3 linked regions of the Ovis aries genome follow. The protein of the gene in region 1 interacts with the protein of each later gene in a pairwise test. Links are inferred from orthologs where the notes say so. Each region holds a gene or a part of one and is shown on either strand. Other genes may lie near its edges.

What was found.
Region 2: the proteins of GTPase IMAP family member 5-like (region 1) and EDA interact in binary tests that used the Homo sapiens proteins (3 or more experiments, as listed by UniProt). The two-hybrid records come from large-scale screens. The link is inferred for Ovis aries from reciprocal best matches to the Homo sapiens genes GIMAP5 and EDA.
Region 3: the proteins of GTPase IMAP family member 5-like (region 1) and LSMEM2 interact in binary tests that used the Homo sapiens proteins (3 or more experiments, as listed by UniProt). The two-hybrid records come from large-scale screens. The link is inferred for Ovis aries from reciprocal best matches to the Homo sapiens genes GIMAP5 and LSMEM2.

What each region holds. Positions count from the first base shown.
Region 1 is NC_056057.1:114,126,028-114,129,673, forward strand, and holds part of GTPase IMAP family member 5-like, read left to right. Parts: intron 1-993; 5' UTR 994-999; coding exon 1,000-1,042; intron 1,043-3,131; coding exon 3,132-3,646. UniProt on the Homo sapiens protein: Plays a role in T lymphocyte development and the optimal generation of CD4/CD8 double-positive thymocytes. Inhibitor of GSK3A, possibly by sequestering GSK3A in cytoplasmic vesicles and impairing its translocation to the nucleus.
Region 2 is NC_056080.1:62,926,916-62,930,561, reverse strand, and holds part of EDA (ectodysplasin-A), read right to left. Parts: intron 2,475-3,646; coding exon 2,295-2,474; intron 427-2,294; coding exon 392-426; intron 1-391. UniProt on the Homo sapiens protein: Cytokine which is involved in epithelial-mesenchymal signaling during morphogenesis of ectodermal organs. Functions as a ligand activating the DEATH-domain containing receptors EDAR and EDA2R. May also play a role in cell adhesion.
Region 3 is NC_056072.1:50,135,340-50,139,650, reverse strand, and holds the start of LSMEM2 (leucine-rich single-pass membrane protein 2), read left to right. Parts: upstream 1-1,407; 5' UTR 1,408-4,311. Other genes in the region: SEMA3B (semaphorin-3B), read left to right, coding at 2-57, 150-289, 647-1,048.

The sequences.
Region 1 (3,646 bases):
TCATTTCCTTCTTCTGTGTATTTCTCTCCTTAAAATGTTTGTTTCATGACTGCATAATCTTTAAAACTGACGAAGTAAAATACAGGCTCAGAGTTCATCTTAATTATAGTTGCACATTGCAGGCTTGCCTTTTCTAATGGACGCTTATCTTTTCTAGCACCAAGAAGAATGACACAATAGCATGCCTCAGCTGAATGAAACCTTTATCTCCACGGTTTTGCCAATTTCTGGTGACATTGACTGGGATTTTTAAAAGTGGCTATTGATTTAAAGACATTTGATTTAAAACTGAGCAGGCAATGACTTTATCCTGAATTTGTCCCAAATGTTGCTGCTGTCCCTCAGTCAGGGCACCAGTTTCTCTCCCCCCAGCTGCTCAGAGGGAAGGAGGTGGTGACCATGTTCGGGCCTCTTCCCCTTCTCCCTCTCATGTCCATCCTCAAAGGAGCCCTGGACCCCAATTCCACACTCCCACTGGAAGGTGCATTGTACTTTCCTCTTTGCCACTGGAATATTCATCTGATACAAAGAGTTTCTGGGATTGGAAATGCCTGGTAATTCAACAAAGCACTATTCATTTACAGTAAGGCAACTTTTATTCTCTAGTCTAGCAAGTTTGCCTACTCTGATTCTAATAATAATAATAATAAAATAATAAAAAGCCCGGCTTCTCATTCCTAGAGGAAGGCTTTCTATATTTCACACCTTTTCAGCTTGAAGGGAGATAATCAACTGATGTGTATTCAAACATTTCTTGCTTTCCTGTAGAATGAGAAAAAAGCAAGAGTTCACTGTGTTAACATAACCTAGCATCACCCGCCTTGCTTAAAGTTATATATGGATATTTGAAAGCAAAGTATAAGTTAGAAAGTTAGCAATGGAAATGACTCATGTAAGGATAATTATTTTGGCTGTCTAAATTGGAGGTGTTCTCAGGCCTTACCAGCTCCTATAAGGACACTTGCTTTTATTCCTTTCTTCCTTTTATTCCAGAAGCGAATGGAAGGACTTCAGAGGAGCAGATACGGAACCATGGCTGAAGGTAAGAAACCCTCCAAATTCTCAAACTTTCTGGGCACCAGGCGAAAATCACTGTCTTCCCTCCTCCACTCCCTGACCTCAAATATTAAGACAGAAGAGAAACCCAATTATTTTAAACTGCAGGAGAAAAAGGTAGCTATCGTGTTCTTTGGGCTTCCCTGGTGGTTCATCTGGTAAAGAATCCACCTGCAATGAGGGAGAGCTTGGTTCGATCCCTGGGTTGGGAAGATCCACTGGAGAAAGGAATAGCTAGCCACTCCATTTTTCTGGCCTGGAGAATTCCATGGACTGTATAGGCGTAAAATAACAGATTTTAGGAGCCTAGAATGAATTTAATTCATTTGAGCTTATAAGAACTCCAGAAATCCTTGCATTCTCACTCTCTTCATCCCTAGAAGACTTAGCTCTTGGTACAGAGTGACCTCGCCAACACCACTTTTGTTATAATTTCTTATAATTCTATCAGCGACAGCAATGATCTTTCCAAAATATGTATTTCTAACATTCTTATCATCTCTTCTTCAGCCACCCATCCAGGGTCATCTGTCAGACTCTGTCCCTGACATTAACCACAAGCCTTCCCAATATTCAAATCCCTACCCTAAGAGCAGAAACCCAGGGACATTCGGCTGGTCCTCAGTGGGAGGTCATTGAGACTCTAACATCTGAGACTTCCTTTACTCCCAGGGTTCAGATGACTGTGATGAGCAGTCTGTGTGCCTGGGAACTGGTGGGTGAAAAGCAGATGATAATATTTTCTCATTTATGATTTATCCTCACCTCCTTGTAATTTCACCTGAGATTAGCATGAAACTGGCCTAAGTAACATCATGGGAAAAGCAAAGGATCACTTTTCTTTCTGAAAACCTGTATTTTCATTGGTCCTGAAGAAGTCCTTGGAGCATCCTTCATAGTGTAGCTGTTCTGGCTCTTGGCTATGGGTCCAAGCTTGGGCTCCCAATGTGGGCTTCCTACCAGTCAAGAGCCACCCAAAGTTGTATGCAAACACCTGTACGATTTTCATATCACTGTTTGGCAGAGAGAGGTCCATAGCTTTCATGAGATACCATGAAAGGTCAGTGACAGAAAAATCTTATGAATCACTAGCTTTACCAACAGAGACCTACTGTATGGCACAGAGAACTCTGCTCAATATTCTAAATAATCTAAATAGGAAAAGAATTTGAAAAAGAAAAGATACACACATAGGAATGACTGACTCACTCTGCTGCACACCTGGAACTGAAACAACAGTGCTCATCATCTTGTTGCTCAGTCGCTCAGTCATGTCCTCCTCTGAGACCCCATGGACTGCAGCACACCAAGCTTCCCTGTCCTTCACCATCTCCCGGACTTTACTCAGACTCACGTCCACTGAGTCCATGATGCCATCCAACCATCTCATCCTTTGTTGTCCTCTTCTCCTCCTGCCTCCAGTCTTTCCCAGCATCAGGGTCTTTTCTACTGAGTCAGCTCTTCTTCGTTTCAGGTGGCCAAAGTATTGGAGTTTCAGCTTCAGTATCAGTCCCTCCAGTGAATACTCAGAGTTGATTTCTTTTAGGATTGACTGGTTTGATTTCCTTGCAGTCCAAAGGACTCTCAAAAGTCTTCTCCAACACAGTTGGAGAGAATAGTTCAAAAACATCAATTCTTTGGTGCTCAAACTTCTTTATGGTCCAACTCTCACATCTATACAGGACTACTGGAAAAAACCATAGTTTTGACTAAACAGATCTTTGTTGGCATAGTGATGTCTCTGCTTTTTAATACACAGTCTAGGTTTGTTATAACTTTTCTTCCAAGGAGCAAACATCTTTTAATTTCATGTCTGAAGTCACCATCTGCAGTGCTTTTGGAGCCCAAGAAAATAAACTCTCTCACTGTTTCCATTGTTTCCCCATCAATTTGCCATGAAATGTTGGGACTGGTGCCATGATCTTAGTTTTCTGAATATTGAGTTTTCAGCCAGCTTGTTATCTGCTTCAAGAGTAAATAAAAATTTAAAATTAAAAAAAAAAAAAAGAATCACTAGTATGGTAAAACAAGATAATTCTCTCTCTCTCTCTCTCTCTCTCTTTTTTCTTTTACAGAACATCAGGGCTTTGAACCCTCCTCCTCGTTGAGGATCATCCTGGTAGGAAAAACAGGCAGCGGGAGAAGTGCCACTGGGAACAGCATCCTCTGCCAGCCCGTCTTTGAGTCCAAGCTGGGGGCCCAGTCGGTGACCAGGAAGTGTCAGAGGGCAACAGGCAGGTGGAATGGGAGGAGCATCCTGGTGGTGGACACACCCCCCATCTTTGAGGCCGGGGCCCAGGATCAAGAGGTGTACCAGAACATTGGGTCCTGCTATCTGCTGTCAGTGCCAGGGCCCCACGTGCTGCTGCTGGTGACCCAGCTGGGGCGCTTCACCGAGCAGGACGTGGTGGCCGTGACCAGGGTGAAGGAGGTCTTTGGGGCAGGAGCCGAGAGATACATGGTCATCCTCTTCACTCACAAGGAGGACTTGGCGGGCGGATCCTTGGATGAGTACGTGGCAAACACAGATAACCTCAGGCTGAGGAGCCTGGTCCGGGAGGTCGGGCGGAGGTACTGCGCCTTCAACAAT
Region 2 (3,646 bases), on another chromosome or scaffold:
AACTGGTTGGCTGATTTTCAAGAACATATTCTTAAACTTCTAAGCTGCTGACATCAGGTGGTTGGAATGCCGACAAGGTGTCTGGTGTAGTTGGGGAGGCCCAGGACCAGGTGAATAGACCTCACTGCCAGCTCATGTCAGCTGACTATTGGGCTTGGCTGTGGTGACCCTCTGTCTCCTAGGGAATGGGGAAAAATAGCCACAGCTCAGTTCTCTTGCTAAAAGCAGGCCCTAGGGCAAAGTTTTTCTATTCATGGGAGGGGGCTGTGAATGAAAAGCCCCCAGAACCTCCAGGGTCTCCTCACAAAAGAAAGCCTCAGCAAACTTAGCAGGGAGCAAACTCAAGGGTGGCCTTCCCTTCTTCCCAGCAAGACAGCAATTCCCAGCCAACCTGGTTTTCTCGAGTTCCAGCTTTATCAGCAGCACCTGCAAAATAGGACAGGCCAGTCAGAGGGCATGCTCTGTCTACTTGCTTCTCTTCATCTAGGCAGCCAATGGCACTGAGCTTTTGCTCCCTGTCTGAGCCAAGCCAGGCTCAGTCTGAGCCTTTTGCCAAGCATCAACTGAGCCTTATTTTCCACAACTCAGAGCTGGAGGGAGTCAGGGTGCGGGGCTCTGGAGTGGGAGATGACACCCCTTTCTTCTCTGACTTGTCCCTGACCTGCATCTTCAATGCGCCCAGCACCCAGCAGGAAACTGGCCCCTCGTCAACAATGGCCCAAGGCAAGTGCCACTGAGCACCCGTGGTGACAGAGGAGAGTGCATTCCTGCCACCGTGGGACCCCAAGACAATGGTACTTGCTTCTTTAGCCTTTTGTTCTCTTTCTATTAATTTTCTCTGTAGAATGCATTGCCATTTGTACACATCTTGCTTCTTTAATTGTCATTCTCCTGTACGACATAAATTCCACCAGTCAATATATCTCTTGCACATAGAAAGTATGCAATGAATATTTGTAGAAAGATGGGATGAAAAAAAATTCCAAACTGCATTTCTTGGGGCCACAATGACACTGATTAGCTCTGTTTGAACTACCAGTCAAAGAATATGAGTCTTGTGGCAGTATTCTTGGACCCAGAGAAATCAGCTGTGAAGAGTCCATTTCTGTAAAAGCCCCAAGATGAGGGGAGCAGGAGAAGGAAACAGCAGCTGACCTAAGCCCCGGCAGTCTGACCCCTGTCAACTCTGACTAGGCAGGTTTGGATCTGCATCTGTGCCTTTGGGATGGCCTTCTGGGCCCAAGGGGAAAGATGCAAAGAGGTTAAATGCTATTCAAATGGGCAACGTGGTAGGGGAAGGATGTAGCACAGTAAGCACTTGATTCCTCAACAGACTGGTCTTGGTGCCTGTGTCTGCTTCTTCCACAGCCTGAGTGACTCATAAGTTTCCAACTCCTTGATTATCAGTGACTACTGGTCTAGCTCTATGGGAAAGGCACTTCAGAGTTCAGGGGATGAGACTACTCTAGGGCTTGTCATTCTGTCCAGCCCCGAACTTTCCTCTCCATGTTGTTGTTATTGTTTAGTCACTAAGTCGTGTCTGACTCTTTGTGACCCCATGGACTGTAGCCCACTGGGCTCCTCTGTCCATGGGATTTCCCAGGCAAGAATACTGGAGTGGGTTACCATTTCCATCTCTAGGGGATCTTCCTGGGCCAGAGATCGAACCTGCATCTCCTGCATTGGCAGATGAGTTCTTTACCTGGGAGCCACTAGGGAAGCCCATTCCTACCCTTTGCCTTTTTCTAATCAAACATCAGTATGTGAGGCTAGATGCTGGAAATCGGGAGACAAAATCCACAGGTCAAGAACAGGTATCTCTTCCTTGACAGGTTGGTATAAATATGAAGTTAGAGCAAGGCAGGCCCTACTGACTTGTTCAATTCCTAGCTCTCCACTGAGCTAGGAGACCACACACCATCAGTCGTGTCTGACTTTTTGCGACCCTAAGGACTGTAGCCCACCAGGCTCCTCTATCCATGGGATTCTCCAGGCAAGAATACTGGAGTGGGTTGCCATGCCCTCTTCCAGGGAATCTTCCTGACCCAGGAATCAAACCAGTGTCTCTTACATCTGCATTGGCAGGCAGATTCTTTACCACTAGCACCTCCTGGGAAGCCCCATAAATAAGAAGTTAGAGCAGGGCAGGTTCTACTGGCTTGTCCAATTCCTAGCTCTCCACTGAGCAAGGAGACCACATACTGTTATTTTAAACTGCTCTTGGGATCACCTGCTCCTGTTCTATTAGAGAACTTTTAAGGAACCTAGGATGGTGGAGAGATGGAGGAACTCACCAGAAGGTCCTTGGAGGCCAGGGGGTCCTTGAGGACCAGGAGGACCTGGAGGGCCGGGTGGTCCCATAACAGTTGTTCCTGGAATCCCAGGAATCCCTGGAATCCCTGGGGGTCCTTGGGGTCCTGGAGGTCCTGGAGGTCCTGGGGGGCCATTGGGTCCAGGAGGTCCTGCCTTCTTTCCTGAAAGATGAGATTCGGTATCACATTTATAATTACTGACTGAGTGTACTGTCGGGAGTTCCACAGCTTTCTCATGACACAAAGTTGGCCCTCCGGGAGTTCCTGCTCTTAAAGAGGTGTATACTGTTATCACACATCACACACACACACTTTGTTTCATGAATCAGCATTTACAGGCTGGGTTTGAAGAAATAATGACCCTCAAGGAATTTGGTCTTGTGTGGAAACAGACACAGTCACAGGACAGTAGAAATGTTGCATTAATTGTAGGGACAAAATGCTGGAGAGGTCAGGAAGCTTAAAAAAGGAGGTTACCGTTTGGCCAAGTCCAAAGGATCAGAATCACCAAGTGGGTAGACCTTAAAAAGTGGGCCACTTTTTACAATTGAGAACTGGGCTACTGTTGCAGAGCGTGGCTCTCATGTTTACTATCCAGGTTGGTGGGCTTGATGTGGATGAGGCTAGCAAGCTCGGAGGCCAGCTTGACCTTAGGATGACTATCAGCTCCAGGAAGGCTTCCTCTAGGAGTCAGGATGTACAGGGACTTGAGCTAGGATGAGGCTGGAAAGTAGAATTGGAAGGAGTCTGGGAAGATGAGAGGTGGTTGGGGGAGGGAGGAGAGAAAGAGCGAGAGAGAAGGCTCAAGTAACATAAGGAAAGAAGGGGTAGTGGAGACCAGAGGGAGCTGAGCTGTGGAGGAAGCAGCAGGCAGGTTTTGCTTTCTCAGCTCACCTCTCTAAACTCTACTTTTAAAGAGCTCTGGGAAAGGAAATTCTGCAGAATCCCTTGGTAACATGTTCCAATGTTTATCACCCCCTCACTGTTAGGAAGCTCTTCTGTATATTGAACTGAAATTCCTCCTGTGGAAGTTTAAGCTCTTATACTATTGTTTGTATAGGTAGAAAAGAATAGTTGCCATCATACAGACAATAACCCTAATGTGCTCAAGGACATTAAGTCACCTATCAACTTCTATTTTTATAGGCTAAATAATCTAGCTTCCCAGAGTCTTCTTTCCTCAGAGGCCCTATTCTTGAATGTATTTATTAATCAAGCCACCAGATCCTCCCCATTTCCTCCTTGCTCTCTTTTCAGAGCAGTCTCAGCCTTCTATTCCACATTCCAGTCCTTCCCATATTCCCACCAGAACTATGTTAACCAGGTTCTAACTG
Region 3 (4,311 bases), on another chromosome or scaffold:
GGCGGTTCCGACGGCAGGACGTAAGGAACGGCGACCCCAGCACACTGTGTTCCGGGGGTGAGTGTCTCAGCTGCTCTCATCCCTCAGCGCTTAAAGACTGCCCCACCCTGTCCTGCTTTGCCAGAATCTGACATTCGCTTTGCCCCCAGACTCATCCCACCCTGCGCTGCTGGAGCAGAAGGTGCTGGGTGTGGAGGGAGGTAGCGCCTTCCTGGAGTGTGAGCCCCGCTCGCTGCAGGCGCACGTGGAGTGGACCTTCCAGCGCGCGGGGGAGTCTCCCTACACTCAGGTGAGCCTCCCCCTACCCCCTCTCCAAACAGGCCCGGTTCCAACCCTAATGTCCAGAAAGTGCCAGCCCTGATTAATGAGGCCCTTAGCCCGCTCCGCACGTCTACATGCGATCCAGCCCCACCCTGTGAGTCTCAGGCCAATCAGACCCCTAACGCCCAATTTGGTCCCTGGCCCGCAACTCCGCATCCAGGTGAGGCCCCATTCCTCTAACTAGGCGCCTAACATCCCTGCCCGGTCGGAGAGAAGCCCTGCCCTCTCCTCGCCCACTGAGCTCTCCGACCCGCCCTCACTTGCAGATAAGCTCCGCCCCCCCGCCGTTCCCTAAAATCCTCGCCTCCCGCTGATCCACCGGCAGGTGCCTGCGGAGGAGCGGGCGGAGCGCTCGAGGAGGGGATTGCTGCTGCGCGGGCTACGGCGTGGGGACTCCGGCGTGTACCTGTGTGCAGCGGTGGAGCAGGGCTTTTCGCAGCCACTGCGTCGCCTGGCGCTGCACGTGCTGAGCGCAGCACAGGCTGAAAGACTGGCCCGGGCCGAGGATACTGCGCCAGTCGCCCCGCCGGGCCCCAAGCTCTGGTACCGGGACTTTCTGCAGCTGGTGGAGCCCGGCGGCGGTGGTGCGAACTCCCTGCGAATGTGTCGCCCGCAGCCCGCGCCGCGCCCACAGGTCCCTGAGTCACGGAGAAAGGGCCGCAACCGGAGGACACACGCCCCAGAGCTGCGGGCTGAGCGGGGCCCGCGCAGCGCAGCGGACTGGTGACTTGGCCGTCCCCACGCTGGGGACTGGGGAGGAGGCGGCAGGAGGGAGAGGGGGCGCTCAGACCCTGGGAGACGGCTAGGGGCCGGCGTTTCCTGATGGAGGGAAGACACCGACCGACAGGCCCTGGCCAAGGGGCAGCCATGCTGGCTTATTTATTAACAAGAGGATAACCCTTGAATGTAACCCCAATAGGGGCGGCCTAGGCTGAGCACAGGGTCCGGCTGGTCGGGAGGCAGCAGAGAAGCAGGGTTCCCCGGGTACTTGGGTGGGAGTGGTGCCCGGAATGCCCACCCTGGGAGAAGGACCACCTCTTTGGGCAATGAGCAGAAAGCTGTGAACAGGCTGGGTGGGTGGGGTGGGGCAGGCCGACTGTACTAATGCAATAAACACATTTTCAGCCAAAGCTGGAATGGCCCCAGCAGACAATTGCTGGTCTTAGTGTTACCGACCCAGGTTCTTGGACTCTTTAATCAATAGAAGTTGATAAGAGGCCAGATGAGAAATTCAGGCAAGGCTTCAAGGACTCATGCTGCAGAACAAGGGAGTGAAAATAAGCCACAGGTGCCCAACTAGCAACAGGTGCTCTCCCTTGCTTGTGCTGGGGGTGGGGAAGGAGGGCAGGAGGGGTGAGTTGGTTCCTTAAATGGGGTGAGGGTAGGGTCAGATCCATGGTTCAGGCAGTAGGGTGGCTTAGGTGGTCAGCCTGCCCCCTTGTGGTGGTGTGGCAATTGGTTTTCTGGTCTGTTTTTTTGGGGGGGTGTCTTTTTTGTATCTTGTTTATAATTTGCCCCAACCGCAGGTTTATATAGTTGCTTTTAGTTGCTTACAGCAGGATTCCCCAACCTCCAGGCCTAGGACTGACACTGGTCTGTAGCCTGTTAGGAACCCGACTGCACAGCAGGAAGTGAGTGGAGGGCAAGCCAGCGAGCAAAGCTTCTTCCTCTGCGTCTTTCCATTGGTTGCTTTACCAGCTGAAATCAACCCCATCCCTCCCATCTGGTCCCTGGAAAAACCTGTCTTCCATGAAACCAATCCCTGTTGCCCAAATGGTCAGGGGACTGCTGCCTTACAATCTCTCTGTAGTCCGTTGCTCCAAGAGATGTTTGTCCAGGTGAAGTACTACAGCATAGGGTCCCATGTCTGATTCCCCTCTAGGGGGTTCTACACCCTTTCTTCTTAAGGGTTAAGGGGTTGAAGTTCTCTTCTGAAACCGCAGATCCTAGCCTACCCTAGAGGTGCAGAAGTCCCTCGCTGACTGCTTTCGGGGACCTGGGTTCCCCTCAGCTGGAATCGGTTGAAATCCTTGAGCCATCCTGAGCCTTACTTGAAAACTGTTGGGACCTAGAAGACACAAACTTAACCAAAGGGTTAAACAGACAAGGGCCAAAAAGGAGAACAGTAAAAAGCCAGTAGAGCAGGGGTCACCAACCTCCAGGATCTAATGCCTTGACAATCTGAGATGGAGCTGGTGTAGTAATAGAAAAAAAGTTCACAATAAATGTAATGTGCTCAAGTCGACCTGAAACCATTCCCCTACCCCATGCCCACTGAAAAATTACCTTCCAGGAAGCCAGTGCCTGGTGCCAGAAAGGTTGGAGACTGCTTCACTCAAGGGTCTAGGAAGGGAAGGAACCAGGATAACTTTGACAGGGCTTCCCTAACTGCTGACCAGACAGCGAAGGCGACAGCGCCCCTGCCAAAATTGTGAAGCCATTGCTGCTTGGGTGTCTATTTAACTTTTCTCTTTGCTGTTGCATTGATTTAGGTGCAGCAGGAAGTGTTAGTTACCCCACAAATTGTGCCTTGTTCTGTCAGAAGGTAATCAAGGACTAGATGATTATCAAGAGGTAAATACATTAACCCAAGTAACAAGAGAGGATTAAGTCCCATTAAAGCTTGCTCTTGTTGGTTTTATCACAGAATTAAGCTGTCTGGTGAGATTTCTCAGTGTGGCTTCTTGATAGGGAAAGCTACCCCATGGAGCTACCAGTCCTGTGGCCAGCCCTAGGAAGTGAACATTATTATTTATTTAGGTATTCAGCGGTAGACACTTGGGATCTTTGATTTTCCTTGCAACGTGTGTGATCTAGTTCCTGACTAGGAATGGAACCTGGGCCTCTGGCATTGGGAGTGCAAAATCTTGGCCCACTGGACCACCAGGGAAGTCCCTGAAGTAGACATTGTTAATGCAGTTATAGGCCATAGCTTGGACTTTCCCCGCGGCTCAACCATAAAGAAAACTCCTGCCATACGGGAGACATTGATTCAGTCCCTGGGTTGGGAAGATCCCGTGGGGAAGGAAATGGTGACCGTCTCTAGTATTCTTGCCTAGGAAATCCCATGGACAGAGGAGCCTGGTGGACTACAGTCCATGGGGTTGCCAAAGAGTGGGACACCACTTAGCCGCTAAACAATAAAATAAAGCCTTGTGAATATCAAGTGCCCAGAAGCACCAATTTTCAATTTGTTGTTATAAGAAATGACCACAAGGTGGCAGCATTTCTCCCTGCCCAACTCTTGATTCCTTGGGCAACCAGAGCCTTAGGGGAAAAGTCCCATTCCTGGGTTGTAACTTAGAATGGGATGTGCCAGAAACAACACCCAAGGGCTTGTGTCTTCTTATTTCTTCCACCTTATCCTCCCCCACCCCAGACAAATCCAGAGCCCTGAAAACCGGCTACAGTGAGGGTGCTGAGGGTGCTCTTGGTAGGGTGAGTCTAAGGCAGAAGGTTGGAGGAGGGAACCCCTCAACTGGGAGACCTGAAAACCGGGTGAATTTACAAAGCTCGTCCAGCCCTGGGACTTTCCTGGCAGTTCAGTGGTTAAGACTCACACTTCCAGGGCAAGGGGCCCGAGTTCCATCCGTGGTTGGAGAACTAAGATCTCGCGTTCCATGTGGTGTGGCCAAGAAAATTGTTAAAAATAACTAAAAATGTCAGGGAAAAAAAAAAAAAAACTTCTAGCTCACAGAATCCACCATCCTTTGGGTACGCTAGGCTTGGCTTAGCTAGAGGAGGGTCTGACTGGATCTGGAGACTGTGGTCTTAGCGGAGCAGGCACTGCGGGGCCAAGGGAGGTTCTCTGATGACACAGCCTCCCTCGCCCCCTTAGCTTTACCACCCTCCAGCCTGGAGACCAGGCCTGCTCAGGCTTCAGGGCTGCAACACAGGCCAAGGTGCCAGAAGCCTGAAAAAAAAATAGAGTAGGCATTTCTTTTCTTTCTGTTAAACTTGTATTTTGGCATGTACTTGATTGGTCACTTA